Linked DNA regions of Elephas maximus indicus. The protein of the gene in region 1 interacts with the protein of each later gene in a pairwise test. Links are inferred from orthologs where the notes say so. Each region holds a gene or a part of one and is shown on either strand. Other genes may lie near its edges.

Evidence for each region.
Region 2: the proteins of SH3BP5 (region 1) and TNKS interact in a two-hybrid assay, tested with the Homo sapiens proteins (2 studies listed by BioGRID and IntAct). The link is inferred for Elephas maximus indicus from reciprocal best matches to the Homo sapiens genes SH3BP5 and TNKS.
Region 3: the proteins of SH3BP5 (region 1) and SOS1 interact in a two-hybrid assay, tested with the Homo sapiens proteins (2 studies listed by BioGRID and IntAct). The link is inferred for Elephas maximus indicus from reciprocal best matches to the Homo sapiens genes SH3BP5 and SOS1.

Annotation. Positions count from the first base shown.
Region 1 is NC_064845.1:36,061,334-36,067,425, reverse strand, and holds the start of SH3BP5 (SH3 domain-binding protein 5), read left to right. Parts: upstream 1-2,266; 5' UTR 2,267-2,507; coding exon 2,508-2,648; intron 2,649-4,569; coding exon 4,570-4,632; intron 4,633-6,092. UniProt on the Homo sapiens protein: Functions as a guanine nucleotide exchange factor (GEF) with specificity for RAB11A and RAB25. Inhibits the auto- and transphosphorylation activity of BTK. Plays a negative regulatory role in BTK-related cytoplasmic signaling in B-cells.
Region 2 is NC_064840.1:71,012,144-71,018,235, reverse strand, and holds the start of TNKS (poly [ADP-ribose] polymerase tankyrase-1), read left to right. Parts: upstream 1-2,291; 5' UTR 2,292-2,335; coding exon 2,336-3,005; intron 3,006-6,092.
Region 3 is NC_064844.1:24,623,636-24,629,727, forward strand, and holds the start of SOS1 (son of sevenless homolog 1), read left to right. Parts: upstream 1-2,211; 5' UTR 2,212-2,309; coding exon 2,310-2,396; intron 2,397-6,092.

The DNA.
Region 1 (6,092 bases):
GGACATGAAGCTGTTACCGGAATAAGGTTCTTGCCTCTCAGTGGTCAAGAATGAGCACGTAAGGCACGTAGTTTTCCACACGAGGAAAGCTTTATTGAAGAGGCTTGCAAGCGGAGATCAGGAGGGCCTAGAGCAATGCTTACCCTCATCTCACAGAACAAAAGACAGGCCCTGAGTTTTTAAAAGTTCTTGGGCAGGAAAAGATTCATGTTTATTCATAGGCACAGGCTGGGATATGTTATCTAAGGTGTGCGCAGCAGCTTTCCAAGATGGCTCCTGTCCTGGAGGCCTCTGGGATTCATAGCAGGACTTATTATGGGGTGTCACACCTGCGTAGTCCCCCGCTGTCCGGGTTCGAGTCCCCAGCTGGGGCTGTAGCCCCTCCCTGCCTCTGGTGGAAGGCCACAAAGCGGCCACAAGTGGATGTTCTTCGCATGTCCCTGGGCCTGGTTTTCTCCAGCTGCTTCTGAAAGGCAACTTTAAAGAAGTTTGCAGGCTATTTTTAGATGCCCTGCCCCATTGTTCTGTGAAATGGCTTTGTTTCTGTGCCCTGGCCCATTTCTTGTTACTTTGTTTGCAGATTTGGGGGCCCCTCTGTTCCTTGTCTTACTGAGTCTCTAGGTTCCACACTCAACCCCCTATTACCTCCCTTATAGTCTATTTCTCTTTTACTTGTTTCTCCTCTAACCACACCAGCCTCTTTGCTATTTTTCAAACAGGTACCCTTTGATCTCAGGACCTTTGCTCCCTGTCTTAGAGCCTCCACGTGAAAATCCAATTACCTACGAAAACATTCTCCACAGAATAGCAAGGCCTTTAATGGGTTCCAACCCTATAAAGCTCCTACTACAGTGATCTTTTCAGAACAAAAAAAACCAAAACACAAAATGCCCCTCAGAAACCTGCAATGTACACCTGCACTACCTCCCTAGGAAATAGGACAACTTCCTTTGACAATGGACCATAATGCTGGCATGTAGGGTGGTGCTTTGCTCAAGGAGTAACCCCACAATTTAGCTTCTGATAAAACCGTCAGAAGTGGGTTTTCCAAGGTGGCTTTAATAATGCCGTTGTTAGCTGCTGTCAAGTTGTCCCCCAACTCTTGGTGACGCCATGTGTGTCAGGGTAGAACTATGCTCCACAGGGTTTTTCATGACTGATTTTTCAGAAGCAGATCACCAGGCCATTCTTCCTACTCCAGAAGCTCTGCCAAAACCGGTTCAGATTAATAGTAACAAGGAAGCCTCCACTGACAGGAGAGAGGTGGCTGAGCGTGAGGTCCATTGGCCAGAAATGGAACCTGGGTCTCCTGCATGAAAGGCAAGAAGTCTACCACTGAACCACACATGCCCTCAAGACTTTAATGATAGGCTCTCAGAAAGCTCTGTTCTCAAGCAGGTTTGTTCTCACAGAGCCAAGGGCCCACAAGCCTTGGTGATGAAAGTGTATACTTCCTGATCAGTGGTGTTATCCCTGGAGTGCTTTGCTAAGGTTACCTGACCCTGTAGTCCTCCAACCTCACAGTGGCCCTGACACTTCATCATGGTGTAGACATGTCCTTTTGTTAGGCCTTTGGTGATGCCGAGTTTCCCAGGCAAGTGTTGGCTCCCTACCTGTGGGTTGGGCAGGAAACCTCGCCAGTTCATAACCCCTTGGCTAGAGTATGCCCATCAACAGGTCTTACAGTTGCTGCTTCCTTGAAAAGGCCGTACCAACCTACCTGAATCCACACTCAGTGAATTCTCGCTGCTTCACGGCTATTCAGGTAGGACCATCCCGTGGGCATGTGTTTGGGCATGGAGTTCTGGCCAGGAGAGGCCACAGCCTGTGGAAAAGGAATCCATACGTGCAGCTCTGCGCGTCTAGGGTGGATGTTTCAGTTCCCATTTCTGGGGAAATCTCCAAGTAGATACAACTCACAAGGTTTAGCCGAGGGGACAGGGGCTTCAGAGAGCCTTGAAATTAATGTAGGGTCACTGAGTACGGGACTGTAAAGGTAACTTCAGAGAGTGGAAAAGTCCCCAACTTTCCTCCCATCCTAAATCTGCCTTGTCGAGGAGGGAGAAAGCTACCCAGAAAACAGGTGGCTAGCGTTAGGTAGTTCGCAATGTATTCGTGCTGCTCAGTTAAAAGGGAGCGGGGGCTGTCCCATTTCACCTCCCTTGAGGTCTTCAGGAAGCTGGGGTTTTTGTGACGGACACCTGGGTAATTGCGACTGGCCCATGAATGGTGTCAGCGCCGCGCCGAGGGGCGGCCGGGCGAGGGCGGAGCGGGCGCCGCTGTCCTAGCGGCCGCGGCAGAAAGGGGGCGCCCGGGCGCATTTCCTCCGCTCGCTCCGCCTGGGCCGGACCGACCCGCATCCGCGAGCGGCGTTCCTGGGTGTCGACCGCGGCGGCTGCCGGGACCGTGCCGGGCTTGGGCGAGCCTGCGGCGGCCGCGACCCCTCGGACGCTCCGGATCCTAAGGCGCGGCTCGCGTTCTGGCTGCGGGGCCCGCACCCTGCCTGCATGGACGCGGCGCTGAAGCGGAGTCGCTCCGAGGAGCCCGCCGAGCTCCCGCCGCCTGCCCGGGACGTGGAGGAGGAGGAGGAGGGAGAAGGCATGGAGAAGGGGCTGGAGGAGGAGGAGGAGGTGGATCCTCGGATCCAGGTAGGGCGCGCGGGGGCCCCTCGGGCCGGGTTCCGCGAGGGCTGCGGTGGAGGTCGGCGTCTACACCTACATCCCGCTCCGCAACGTCTAGCGCTGCGGTCCGGGGCGAGACGAGAGGGTCTGAATACTCGGTTTCACCGTTCCCCACTGAGGGGGCTGCAGTGCTCTTTGGATGCGGCCTGACTATATTGCGGGGACCCCTGCAGGCCCCTGGCGAGATTTGGGGGTCCCCGCAGCGTACCAGTGGTTCGGCGGATGCACAACAAAGGGAAAAAGGGGGCGGGGGCGCCATGCCGGTATCGGGGTGCTCTCAGCCAGGCTAGTGGCGCCGCAGGCATTGCACAGCCTCCCGGCTCCGGGAGGAGGGTTTGCCCGGCCCGCGAGCCTGGCGGGTGGGCGTTGCCGCCCCTGCAGCGTGGACTGGCACCGGTGTCCTGGGTCCGGCACCCCCACCTGGCCAGGGTGCCCAGCCTGAGCTGCCTTCCTCCTCCTTTGATTTATTGTAGGGAAACTGGGAGGGTTTATTGTCGCCATTGGCTCAAACCTCCGCTTGGCTTGAAATGGGTTAAAGCCCTGCTTTTTTCCTTGTTGTGGGGTCGGGTGTGAACAGAAACCAGGCACAACTGATGAGCCGAACCGACGCGTGGAGGAGGCGAGGGGGCTGGCCTGGCCTTCTGTGCTTCCATTTCCTAGACCAAAAACCAAATCCATTGCCGTCGAGTGAATTCGGACTGATAGCGATCCCATAGGACAGGGTAGAACTGCCCCATAGGGTTTCCAAGGCTGTAATCTTTAGGGGAGCCGACTGTCAACATCTTTCTCCTGCAGAGAGCCTGGTGGGTTCGAACGGCCAACCTTTCAGTTAGCAGCAGCTCAGCGAACACTGCGGCACCAAGGCTTTTTCCTAGAGGGATGATTAAAAAACAATTTTCAAGCCGAAATCTGTGTGTGACAGCTTAACCTCTTCACCCCTAAGCAAAAACACAGCAAATCTCTTTTCCAAGACCCATTTTTTTTTTTTTTTTTACCCTTTCCATAAATCATTTTTTTTATATTGCTTGTAAGCAATGCCATGCAATCTCTGGAGCCCTACCTAACTGGTTTTTCAGTGCGTAGATCAATTAAAACCTCGTTAAACTAAGTGGCTAGGGTTTAAATGAATTGTTTTTGGCAGATTAGCAAGGTAAAGATCAGGGGGAAAAAATCTTTCTATTAGGAATGATCCTATTAATTAAAATCACTGGTTTGCGTTCTTGCTAGGCGATTCTGTTAGCAATAGCCTTTGTTTGCAGAGTAAAGAGGAGTTAACTTCAGACTGGGTACTTTTTACAGATGTTGGTTGTAAATGTTTATTTGAAGGACTGGGATTAAAGCTAGTATAGAAAGAAAAAAGGCTAGGCAGGTTAAATAATTGGCAGTTTTGGAAAAAAAAAAATTTTCCTTGTAGAAAAACACTCAGCCGCTGATGAGTTAATGACAGAAGTCTTTCCTTGAGTTAAATCATTTCACTGGGCTTATATTTTTAGCATGTGCTGATTTCTTTTTTTAATTTTTTCTACAACGTTCTCCTTCTCTAAGGCAGAGGTTACTGTTTGAATTTGGTAGCTGAACCCTTTGTAATAAGGTGGGTTTACCTGGAGGCACTTACCTGGAATAAATATTTGACTATCGGAAAAGACAAATAATTCCTAGACCCTTAAGTCATTTTTAAAAGAGATACCGTCAAGATAAAGTTTTCAGAAATACAGACATTTCATTTGCTCCTCCAGCTCAAACTCATCTGTTTTCCTTGAAAATTAAAACCACCTTTTCCGTCTTCCTATGAATTGGGCTGGGGTAGTTTTTCAGGTTATGAGCTGAATTTTATTGGAAACAGAAGCCTGACCCCTCAAATCTTTTTTCTCTCTCTTTTCTTCACTAGGGAGAACTGGAGAAGTTAAATCAATCCACGGATGAGATCAACAGACGGGAGACTGAACTTGAGGTACAGAAAGCTTGAAGGGGTGGCTGTCACACTTATTCCTGGCCAGTTGGTTTTGTTTTAATATATAGCCAGCGGTTATTGTGAAGGCCCACCCCTGGGAGTTGAGCAATGGGAGTTGAGCAACAGCCTTGCTGTCTGTCAGGATGAAATACACCACTGAGCCCAACCAGTGGGCCAAACGCATGTGGATCCAATTTCGTGTGTTGTTTTTCATTATGGAAGCTCCATGGGGCCAAACCAAGGGCTGTGTGGCATATTACACATGCTTAAAACCCAGACTTAATGTGTCTGTGGAAAAGCTGAAAGGACTGAGGGGAATATTAGTTGAAGTCTTTTTAATGAATGAGCTCATGAAATCTCTTAAATATTTTAGGGTGGTTCCTTCCATTTGTACTTGGAACTGTTTGGTGTTTCCTCAGACTTACACCCTTTTTTTTTACTTTGCTGTACTAATAATTCACTCCCCATTCCTTTCCACTTCCCCGCGTGTTTCTTTTTTGTCTACTTGTGTGTAGAATATAATTATCTTAATGGTAAGGAAAAGCTGTTTAGACTGAGAAAGGCCTTCCTGCTGGGAAGAGTCTTGGGAGGCAAGCTTGATTTGCATTTCGGGAGCATTTTCCAACCTGAGTGTAAATAGATTAGCATTCTTCACAGCTACCAATTAGTCCTCACCCCTATTTACTAGTGGTTGGTTTTACCATCCATCAGCAAATTTGAACAACCTCTGTATACAGTGACACCTGTGAGAGCTGGAACTCGAACGGAATGCATTGTTTTTCCGGGTCTCACAAGTTTTCCACCTTTGACAGGGTACAAGCCTACTGCTCTTCTATCACTCTCTATTAATGGAAAATATTTGAGTTTTTCTTGTCTGACAGGTTTCCACGTTACATGGGTTCTGGCTTTCATAGGTTTTACTGTATATCTGAAAGCCCGTGTCTGTTAGAGCTATAGGCATGCAGGGAGCCGTTGGGAGGACCTGTTTCTGTAGCAGGAGAAACAGCAAGAAAGGTCAACAGGAAGGACAGAAAATGTGGCCTTGTCACCAGTCCCTGGGTGCAGGAGATAGGAATATAATCTACCAAGAATACACTGGCAGCCATGATTTCTAACTGCATGTCCAGGCCCTGGAAATACCAAATATGAATGAAATCTGGCCTGAAAAGCTTGGTGTTCTGAGCTCTGTGAAGGGTTATCCATGAAACTGGCTGCGATTCTCCCCAAAATGAAGTAAAATCATTGTGTTTGTTTACATTTTTTTTTCAGTTACGGTGAATTGAGTCTCTTTGTGATTTTGGACCATGGAAACCTCTCTGAATCTCAGATGTCTAATACACCCACTCCTCACTTATCGACATGGTTAGGTTCCAAAGATCAGGTCGTTATGTGAAAATCAACGATATGCAAAAATGGAGGATGACCACATCAGATCACAAAATGGAGGATGACTACATCAT
Region 2 (6,092 bases), on another chromosome or scaffold:
AGATGGAAAACCAAAAGGGAAGAACACGCTCAGCATTTTTCAAGCTGAAAGAATTGAAGAAAAAATTCAAGCCTTGAGTTGCAGTAGTGAAGGATTCCATGGGGAAAATATTAAACGACGCAGGAAGCATCAAAAGAAGATGGAAGGAATACACAGACTCATTATACCAAAAAGAATTAGTCAATTTTTAACCATTTCAAGAGGTGGCATATGATCAGGAACCGATGGTACTGAAGGAAGAAGTCCAAGCTGCTCTGAAGGCACTGGTGAAAAACAAGGCTCCAGGAATTGATGGAATATCAATTGAGATATTTCAACAAACAGATGCAACGCTGGAGGTGCTCACTCGTCTATGCCAAGAAATATGGAAGACAGCTTCCTGGCCAACTGACTGGAAGAGATCCATATTTATGCCTATTCCCAAGAAAGGTGATTCAACCAAATGTGGAAATTATAGAACAATATCATTAATATCACATGCAAGCAAAATTTTGCTGAAGATCGTTCAAAAACGGCTGCAGCAGTAAATCGACAGGGAACTGCCAGAAATTCAGGCCGGTTTCAGAAGAGGGTGTGGAACCAGGGATATCATTCCTGATGTCAGATAGATCCTGGCTGAAAGCAGAGAATACCAGAAGGATGTTTACCTGTGTTTTATTGACTACACAGAGGTATTTGACTGTGTGGATCATAACAAACTATGGATAACACTGCGAAGAATGGGAATTCCAGAACACTTAATTGTGCTCATGAGGAACCTTTACATAGATCAAGAGGCAGTTATTTGGACGGAACAAGGGGATACTGATTGGTTTAAAGTCAGGAAAGGTGCACGTCAGGGTTGTATTCTTTCACCATACCCATTTAATCTGTATGCTGAAGAAATAAAACGAGAAGCTGGACTATATGGAGAAGAATGGGGCATCAGGATTGGAGGAAGACTCATTAACAACTTGCGTTATGCAGATGACACAACCTTGCTTGCTGAAAGTGAAGAGGACTTGAAGCACTTACTAATGAAGATCAAAGACCACAGCCTTCAGTATGGATTACACTTTAACATAAAGAAAACAAAAATCCTCACAACTGGACCAATGAGCAACATCATGATCAACGGAGAAAAGATTGAAGTTGTCAAGGATTTCGTTTTACTTGGATCCACAACCAACAGCCATGGAAGCAGCAGTCAAGAAATAAAAAGACGCATTGTATTGGGCAAATCTGCTGCAAAACACCTCTTCAAAGTGTTGAAGAGCAAAGATGTCATCCTGAAGACTCAGGTGTGCCTGACCCAAGCCATGGTATTTTCAATCGCATCCTATGTATGTGAAAGCTGGACAATGAATAAGGAAGACCGAAGAAGAATTGACGCCTTTGAGTTGTGGTATTGGAGAAGAATATTGAATATACCATGGACTGCCAAAAGAACAAACAAATCTGTCTTGGAAGAAGTGCGGCCAGAATGCTCCTTAGAAGCAAGGATGGCGAGACTGCGTCTTACCTACTTTGGACATGTTGTCAGGAGGGATCAGTCCCTGGAGAAGGACATCATGCTTGGCAGAGTACAGGGTCAGTGGAAAAGAGGAAGACCCTCAAGGAGGTGGATTGACACAGTGGCTGCAACAATGAGCTCGAGCATAACAACGATTGTAGGGATGGCGCAGGACCGGGCAGTGTTTCGTTCTGTTGTGCGTAGGGTCGCTATGAGTCAGAACCGACTTGACGGCTCATAACTACAACAACAATGACATACAGAGATCAAAAGGGAATACTGAGAGAGAAAAGACAGCATTTTTAAAATGACCAATGGGCTAATTATAGTTATGTTTTATTGAGGCCTCTGTGTATGTTAGCTCATTTAATCGTGCTAATAATTCTGTGAGACAAGTATTATTCCATTTTTCCTTTTCCAGACAAAAAGGCTGATAGATGACAAACGACACATTCTCTGTTTGCTTTGAGTGAGTTACACCTTAAGAGCTGGGTCTGTAGCATGAAAAGGAAGACTGAAGGAGACTTGGCAACGTACAGAGCACAGCAAGGCAAACTGAGTGAGAAACGCAGGAAGTTTCCCAGGTAGGAAGTGGCCGGCTCCAACATTCAAATCTCCCCAGCCGGCCCGCCAAGACGTCACAAAGCCCGCCCCTCAGCCACGAGACCACGCCCCCTTCCGTAGCCATTCTCTGAGCTCCCAATACATCCCGCCTTCTCTTCCACCCCGCCTACCCCGCGCGGCATCATTTCCTGTGCGCTGAGTGCTGATTGGTTCAGCGGTCGGAAGTGAGGGCGGGCGGTGAGGCCGTTGCCGCAGTGACAGTGCTGGGGGAGTCCGAAGATGGCGGCGTCGCGTCGCTCTCAGCATCATCACCACCATCATCAACAACAGCTCCAGCCCGCCCCAGGGGCTTCAGCGCCGCCGCCGCCACCTCCCCCCCCACTCAGCCCCGGCCTGGCCCCGGGGGCCACCCCAGCCTCCCCCACGGCCAGCGGCCTGGCCCCCTTCGCCTCCCCGCGGCACGGCCTAGCACTGCCGGAGGGGGATGGCAGTCGGGATCCGCCCGACAGGCCCCGATCTCCGGACCCGGTTGACAGTACTAGCTGTTGCAGTACCACCAGCGCAATCTGTACCGTCGCCGCCGCTCCCGTGGTCCCGGTGGTTTCTGCTTCATCTGCCGTCGGGGTCGCTCCCAACCCATCCGGCGGTGGCGGTAACAACTCACCGTCGTCCTCTTCTTCCCCGACTTCCTCATCATCCTCTCCATCCTCTCCTGGATCGAGCTTGGCGGAGAGCCCCGAGGCTGCCGGCGTTGGCACCACAACGACATTGGGGCCTGGGACGGCGGGACCTGGGCCGGGGGTCGCCGCAGTGAGCGGGGCCCTACGGGAGCTGCTGGAGGCCTGTCGCAATGGGGACGTGTCCAGGGTAAAGAGGCTGGTGGACGCCGCAAACGTGAATGCTAAGGACATGGCCGGGCGGAAGTCTTCTCCCCTGCACTTCGCTGCAGGTCAGAGGTTTTAAATTGTTTATTAAGAGTTTGGGGCTTGGAGGCGGGGGTCTGGGTACGAAAAGAAAACTGATTTAAGTTGATGGGACAAAATGGAGCGTGGTATAGTTCTTCAGCACTTCACCTGAAGACAAGACTCCTTTCTTTAGGTAGTGCCCAGGTGACGGGGGCGTGGTAAGGGGCTGTGTGAATCCATAGTTTAGTGTTTGCACAGTGCTACTTGTACTCATACTCCGTAGTGGTAGTCTCTGGATATAGGTATGCTCGAACTTTTCAGTTCTGAATGTGTAGGAATAAAGTTAGATTTGGGCAACCTTAGAGTAATTTTCTTTTGTTTGCTTGATCATTTCGTTTTTACAACGACGATATGCCCACGAGAGCAGGTCTAGACCAGAAGAAGGTTAATGTGGTTCAACGAGTGTTTAAGCATCAGTTATGGTTTCAGTAAGCCAGTGGAAAACACAAATAAAGTTTGTGAAACTCTTCTTTTTCTCAAGAAGTGTACAGTGTAGTTGGGGAGATCAAAATATTCCTGTATGAAGCAACTGGAGAAGAATATTTGGATGCATTATGTCATGAAAGTAGAAATACATAATAAGTTCTCAAAAAAAAAAAGCTAATTCTTAAGCCCTGGATTCCACGCTTTATTCTTCACCTTTTTTTTTTTAAAGCATACAGCTGAGTATATTCTTTTAAAAACACTTAGTGTCTTAAAAAAATGGAGAAATAAAAAAAGCAAAGGACCATAACCTCACTGTCCCCATACCTACTATTGGTATTTAAAAAAGATAAAAGTAATAATTTTATATGCATGACACACTTTACATTAGAAGTGTATACATTATATATAATACAAAATTTCAAATAGGACAGAAAGATAGGAAGTGAAAAGTTAAAGCACCACACGCCCTCGCATGTCAGACATGCCACACTAAAGCTATCTGTGGTTAAGTTTCTTCCCGGGTTTCTGTTTGTCACTCCTTCCACTTGTTAGTGATAAAATAAGGAACCCTGGCGGTGCAGTGGTCAAAGCAATCAACTACTAACAGAAAGGTTGGCAGTTTGAAACCACCAGCTGCTCTGCAGAAGAAAGATGTGGCAGTCGGCTTCTGTAGAAATTTACCGCCTTGGAAACCCTGTGGGGTCACCATGAGTCGTAATCGACTCGATGACGGGGATTTTGGTAATGAAATGTATGTTAAGAACTTACTATATGTGTTATTTATTTTTACATCCAGTCAGAAAATAACTGTTATCCTCATTTTACAGATGATAAATACGAGGTACTTACTGTTTAAACAAGCCCAGGTTCACACAGTAAATGGTAGAACTGGATTTGAACTCAGGCAGTTTGATTTTAGAGCTTGTGAAATCAAACTTAAACTATCATAACTTAACACCTGGGTTAAGGATACTTTAAAGTTTTGTGAGTCACTGTGGTGCAGAGTTCTGCTTTGGTAACATTTTGGGAGAAGTAGTAATCAGGGGGCATACATTGCAAGAGTAGCTTTAACACTTTTTTACTGTACCCTATACTTAGAAATATATAAAATATAGGGTTGCTATGAGTCGGAAACGACTCGACGGCACTGGGTATACTTAGAAATATATTTTATACTGTGACATATACATACACAACTGAATCAAAAGTTGCAGGAAACAGTACTTTCTCTTACTGTGCGTGGTGTACACTGATATTTCATTTTTCACAGATTCTGTTTGTGACCCACTCATATAGCAGCTTGAGAAACACGTTTACAGAAAATCACTATGACGTTAGTGGATCCATTCTTGACGTATAGACACTACTATTAGGGATGTAGTGAACTGAATCCTAAACAGGCTTCCATCCAACTAGATATTTACTCAAGGATGTTGCTTATTTTACATAAAATACCCGTTGCCATTGAGTCAATTCCGACTGATATCAACCCTATAGGACAGAGTAGAACTGCCCCAGAGGGTTTCTAGGGAGTGGCTGGTGGATTTGAACTGCTGACCTTTTGGTTAGCAGCAGAGCTCTTTAACCACTACGCCACTAGGACTCCTTACATGAAATAGTATTTCTTTTTCTTTAAGTTAAATAAAAGATCTAAGTGTTTTATAACTCAACCTAGGTTGTTTACTTTTGCGTAATTTGTTGTAAATTGCTATTTTAAAACATGTTTTACACATCTTGCAGTTTGTTATCATACCTCTTTTGAAGTAATCACTAACAAATGACAGCTACTTAGAATTATACCCTTTTCTCGCTTATCCACATAGTTAGGTTCCAAAGACCAGGTCGTTATGCAAAAATGATGGATGACCACATCAGATCACAAAAATGGAGGATGACTACATCATCACGTAACTGCCAATTTGCATTATTGCATAACTGCCAAACCACTGAGAATCATGGCCCAGCCAAGTTGACACATAACCTTAACAGTCACGGCCAGTGTTACTTTTGCCTCACATATCAGCATTCGTTACTGCCAGACATGCATCATTAATGTGCAAAATAGTCAGATAGTAGATCTTTTACTATTGTTGTAAATGCAGAATGTCAGATAATGAGATGGTTGATAAGTGAGATGTATTTGTTTAATGGACTTGTTTAGAATTAGTCACACATGAAATAGAGCTTGTCTTCCAAATCAGGCTCTCCTGTTTGCCGCAGTGGTTAACTTTTTATTCTATTTTTGAGGTATATGTGTACCCAGATAATCTACAATACAAACAGTGAAACAGTACTGTTATGCGATTCTAACCTTGAACTGACTAAGAAAAAAAATTTTAGCTCGATTGTGAAAAACAGACAAAACAATAAACTTTTCAGTCTAAAAACATAATACCCTCTAGTGAGTTACCATACTTTCAGGTTTATACGCGTAAAAACCAAAAACCAAACCCATTACCACTGACTCAATTCTGACTCATAGTGACCCTATAGGACAGAGTAGAACTGCTCCATAGTTTCCAAGGAGCGGCTGGTAGATTCGAACTACTGACCTTCTGGTTAGCAGCTGAACTCTTAACCACTATGCCACCAGGACTCTGCATAACATTGAAGCTTTACTAAGTCTAGTCTTCTCCATCATGTAT
Region 3 (6,092 bases), on another chromosome or scaffold:
GACACCGTAGGTCTTTGGGATACAATGATGATCATAAGATTGCTGATTTCTTGGAATGTACATTCTAGTGGAGGAGACCAACAACTAAAAATAGAGGCTGTGGTTAAGTGCTAGCCAGAAAATAAACGGGGCTATGGTAGAAAAACACAGGCGGGAAATAGAGTGATCAAAGACGGCTCTTGGAGATGGTGAGGTTTAGAACCAGCCAAGTGTACAGCTAGGAGCAGAGTGAGCTCCAGGCAGAGGGAAGAACAAAGCCCTTGAGGCTGGAAAGGGAGTTTTCTAGGAACGGACAGAAGGCCAGTGTGACTGCAGTGTGGTGAGCCAAGGTTGGGAATGGCGAGAAAAGGTTGAAAAGGTACATAGGAGCCAGATGCACAGCTCTGTGGGCCATGGTAAGAAGCTTAAAATGTATTAAAAAGCAACGGGAAGTCAAGGAAGAGTTGTGGCAAAGGTGAGGTCTTAGTTCAATTACCAAGAACCACACAAACTATTTTTTCCAATCACAGTCCTTTAGATATTTGAAGAGACCCTTTTTCATGCCCCCAACTCCTTCCAAGGTATGGTTTCTCTACTCCTTACCCAGAGGACTTATAAATAGAGCTTAAAATCTTATTCTGAACCCTTCGATAGTGAAAAAAAATTTTATGTAAATCATGTGTGTACATTTTAAAAGGGAAGGTCTTAAGACTTTTATCCTGTAAAGATTAATAACCAGTGTTTAAACCTTTCTCATCAATGTCAACTTCTCTAATAGTTTCCTCATCTGTGAAGTGAAAACAATAGGGTTGCTATGAGGATTAAATGAGATGATGCTCAAAAAGTTTTGAATGATAAACTAGGAGGTGCCTGCCATAGAGTGCTGCTGTTAGAAACAAACACCTACAGCCCTGGGATGGAGGAACAATTTACAGATCACTCTCCTCCAGGATCCCACAAACATTCACTAAGTGCCTAAAAAAAAAAAAAAAAGTGCCTATTCTGTGTAAAACCCCTGGTAGGAAAGATCTGCCTTCCAGGAGTTATTATCTGTTCTTATCTAGTCGAAAGAGCCAGGAAAGGTACGAAACAGGACAGACTAAGCTTCGTGAGAGAGGTGTAAGTACTCTGGGATTTGGGAGCTTCAGGAGAGGTCTCAACTAGTCTCCACTGGAGGACTTCACATTTGAAGTGGGCTAGAGGGATGAACACATGTGATGTAAGAACACGGACACGCAGAAAATCAACACTACACGTACACATTTGGGCCTTGGTGCCTGGAAACGCTGCAGTCACTTTTACTAGCCCACTAGTATTGAGCAGTAGGTTCTGTGAGAAGGGAACTATCTTTCGTCCAAGCTCTGGACAGTCCTTATCCAAATGTTCGGGAACAAGGTACACACACAAAAGCACCTCTTTCCGAAACGAAAGGCCCAGGGGCTCCGAGAGAAGTGTGCGATCCCTCGCGACCGATGCACACAATGGGGGCCGCTTCCCGGAGCTCGCCACCGCCCGTCTCTCCCCGCCCCCTCTCCCGGCCCCGCTCCGTCGGGGTCCGGCTTCTCCGGGCTCCTTCGCCCCTCCCCTGCAGCCCCGGGGCGCAGCCACAGCCCGGCCGGGCGCCCCCTCCCCGCGAGCTTCGCCTCCTTCCCGGGTGAGCCAGAAAACCCGGAGCGAGCCACTCCGGCCCGGCGGCGCATGCTCAGTAGCCAGCAGGTTCAGTTCGCAAGTAGGAAGCTCCAGCGCTACACCGGCGTCGGCGGCGGCCGCGGCGGCACCTCAGGCGGCCGGATTGCCCGCAACGACCTCGGGCCCTTCCCCTTCCCCGCGAGACCCCGGCCCCGCTCCGCCCCGCGCGGAGCTTCGCGCGTTTCGGGGTCCCTGCTGCGCGGAGCGAGCGCCGCTCCCCGAGCGCCCCTCCACACGCCCTCCCCCCGCCGCCAGCTCCGCCGCGGGGCCAGGCCGGGCCCGGGAGCGCAGCCCCGGCGGACGGGCGCGCGGCGGCCGCAGCGGAGGGCAGCCCGGGGCGGCGCCGGCGGGCCGGGGAGGGGTGGGGGCCCGGCCCCGGGGCGGTGGTGCGGGATGCCGCCGCCGCCGCCTCCGGGCTGCGTTCGCTCTTGGCGGCTGGTGCCCGTGTCGGGTGGGTGGCCGGGCGCGGGCCTCGCCCCCCAGGCCCCTCGCCAGGGCTAGCCCGGCAGCGCGGCGCCCCGAGGGGGCCGGGCCGTCCGGCGGGGCCGCGGCCCTGCTCAGCGCAGCGAGCTCGCCCTCTCGCGGCTCCTCGGCCCGGCCTCCGCCGCCCCCTCCCCGCCCAGAGGCGCCCCGGGGGCACCATGCAGGCGCAGCAGCTGCCGTACGAGTTTTTCAGCGAAGAGAACGCGCCCAAGTGGCGGGGGCTGCTGGTGCCAGCGCTGAAGAAGGTGAGGAGCGCGCGGGACCCCGCTTCCCGACTGCAGCCCCGGCGAGGGCGCCGGGGCCGGCCAAGGGCTGGGGAGGCGGGGCGCGCAGGGCCGTCTTTCTTCCCGGCCTCACCGAAGGGACGGCACGCTGAGAGCTTCCCCACATTGGGCTGGCTCTCGGTGTTGACATTACCCGGGCTGTGGGAAGGCCGCAGGAAGCCAGGGAGAGTTGTCCGAATAATCCAACCACTGAGCGAGGAATGCCCTGCCCCTTGATTCGGAGACACCAGTTGGAGGAGCCCGGGTTTTTAGTGGAGGTCAAAGCAGGCCACTTTTCCGCCTTCGTTTTACCAGGAGCTGCTGTCAGCCTCCGTTGTAGGCGTCCAGCCTGCTCATTTTAGTGGGCTCGAAGAGTGCTCTGGCCAGAATGCTTGCCCTAAGTAATTGCAGAGCTCTCCTGCCAGTAGCAAGAGAAACACGGCTTGCTCTGCTCGACCTCAGTAATCACTCCCCATTCCTCCAGATTCCTCCACTCTTCCGAGTAACAGGGGTGGGTGCAGATGCCATTATTTTAAGGGTTTTGGTTGTTGTTGTTTTCTGAGAGCCTGAAAATCTGAATCTGTCGTTTGGTTTGTTGATTACAAACCTTTTTAACCTTTGTATGTTTCTTCAGGTTTGCCACATTGTTATCTCAGGTTCTACACCGTGTTCTGTGCTTTTAAATGTTTCAGTATAATTAGGAAATGTTGCTACATTGTAGTAGCTTCGAAAAGCAACGTTGTGACTTAATATACACCTCAGAACATCAGAGACTGATGTGTTGAATGACTTTAAAAACAACTACCAGAGTATTTTTTTGTTTTCTTCTTTTCTCTTACCTTTTCTGTAAGTATAGAGATCGCTTTACTCTTCTTGAATCCCGGTTTCTTGTTGCTCAAAGAATGTTTCATGTTATCTTGTTAAAATATATTTTAACAATTGAGATTATCGTGTACTTTTTGTGCAAAATATTTATACTTTTGAAAAATGTTTCTTAAAAGGTGTCTGTTATTTGTCAAAGGCCGGCAACTTTTACTTTCCCTTTTGCCTTGTTCTTCCCCTCCCCCTCTTTGGTTTTTACTGTGGAAACTAGTTAGTTAGCAGAATATCCTCAAAATTTCAGGTTTAAGTTACTGTCTTTTTTTCTCAACAATTTTACAAATACTGTTGACATGTTGTTTTTTAAGAAAACCAGAGAGACAACGTATGGCTTATATACCTTATTCCTCCTTAGAAATCCCATCAGGCTTTCCATCTGTTTGCTTTTGCTTTATTTGCAGGCTTGGCTTTTTAGCTTGTAATAGATGGGGGGGGGGGTGGTAGGAGGTCTCTGTGATGCTAGAAGCAGGTATTCTGACAGGGAGGTAGACAAATTGCTTGAAAACATAAAAAGAACTCAAACATTATCAGTTTGGGGCCATTTTGTTCAGAATCAGTTAACTCCTAATTTGAGGTAACTGCCACGATAACCTATCAGTTAAGGGTCCTGTGAAGTAGGGGAAAGAGTGGTGTAGGAGTTGGCAGAGCTGGTCTAACTCTGCCATGCTGGTGGCCATTGCTGAATTCTGTCCATGGAAGCATTTTGTTGGCTGGCACAATATTGTTTTGTTATTTTTAAATGTAATTTGCTGCCAGCATTTAAAAACGGGAGATATTATGTGCAATTTGAATTTTCAACATTTCTTGAAGAATAGGAAGATCTTTTTGTATTGAACTGACATTCAGGTAAGGCTGGAGCTGAGTAAATGGCTGATCCCTTTGAGCAAGGCATGTATCTCCAGTTTACCACAATCCCCACTGGTCAACTTTGCTTATTACTGAAACCAGCATTCACTTTAAGCAGAGAGATGACTATCTGATGGCAGTAGAAGTGATGGTGAGGAGGCAAAGGCGAAAGCGTACACATCAACCTGATATGTAATGTTCTTCCAATCCTCATTCATATACTCATTATTGATTCTAAGCCACCTAAGATTGAAAATATATTTCATATCTGGATATGCTCTAGGGAGCTGAACACCTGAATTTTCACCTGCCTGCTGAACATTTCACCTGGGTATCTCCACATCTTGAACTCTTCCATCAGACTTATTGAACTGTTTGTGTCCAACTGTTGTGTTCTCTTACCTGAGGCTGTTTATACTTGCTGTTTCCTTCACCTGGGCCGCCCTTCTTTGCCTGGCCTAACTCTACTCCTTCAGAACTCATTCTCCATGTCAGAGTTTTTCTTGAATCTACAGGGCTGAATTGGATAGTCCTCCTTTGTTTTCTTTTAGCACTCCAGGCTAGTACTTAACAGTGAATTTTAAGTTCTTATTTACTTGTCTAAGGAGCTCTAGTGGTGCAAAGGTTCTGCCACTAAACAACAGATTGGCAACTTCATGGTAGAAAGGCCTGGTGATCTACTTCCCTTAAGATTACAGCCTAGAAAACCCTGTGGGGCAGTTGGCGGTCACTGTGAGTCAATCATCTCGCTGGGCACCTAACAACATTTATTTGTCCCCCACCTTTGCTACTAGATTGGATGCTCCTTGAGAACACAGATGATGTCTTACTTTTCATTTTGTCTCCCATGCATATTCAGACACCTCGTAGGCACTCGTATTATTTGAATGAATGGGTGTGGGAATACGTATATTTCTTTCACGTCCCTTAAACACAGTATTTCCCAAACTAAAACCATCAACTCTCTTCCTTCCACCTAACATTTTCTAGTATTTCTTCTTGATTTATGAAGTCTCTGGGTGGCACAACTGGTTAAGCGCTTGGCTACTAACTTAAAGGTTGGTAGTTCGAATCCACCCACAGGCACCTTGGAAGAAAGGCCAGGCAATCTACTTTTGAAAGTGCACAGCCATTGAAAACCCTAGGCAGCGCAGTTCTACTCTGACACACGTGGGGTTGCCATGAGTTAGGATCAGTTCGATAGAAACTGATTTAATGGCCTTATTATTTTATTTGACTGGCTCAAAACTTTGGAATCATCTCTGATATCTGTCTTGGCATTATTGTCCACAACCAGGCAAAACTTAGATTTGTTGCCCCTTGACGTGTTCTTGGAAGCTATCCCTTCCTACTCCAGTTGCTTTAATTGAGTTCCCTTTCCCAAACTACTGCAATAGCCTCTTAAGTGAGTTCACCGTCCCCTCCCACGTCTCCTTTGTGTATTTTGCAAATTTCACAAGTTAAAGTACACTTCTGAACATGTCATGCCCTTGTTCAGAATAGTTGATGTCTTTTTAAGGGCCTAGAATGAAGTATGCAGTCTCTAGCGTGGAGCTGATAGTGATCATTGATCTAGTTTTTCTAACTAAATTGCTTATCATAATCATTCATATTCTTATGCTTTAGCCAGACTAGACTGACTACTTCTTTCCTGAATATGCCCAGAACATCCTACTGCATGACCCCAACACTAAGGATAAAAAGACAAAAGACATATTCTAGAAATGCCTGAATTAGAACATGATGGGGAGTGTCAGAGGATGAGCCTGGTTTATAGAGAATTTTTTTATATGTTAAGCTAAGGAATTTTAATTTTACCTTGGGAGAAGAAGCCATTGAGGATTTGTAAACAGATTAACATCAGATATGAATTTTAGACAGTTCACTTTGACCATAGGATGGAAAATGGATTGGAGAAGAATGTGGACCTGAAGTAAGGAGAAAAGTTAGGAG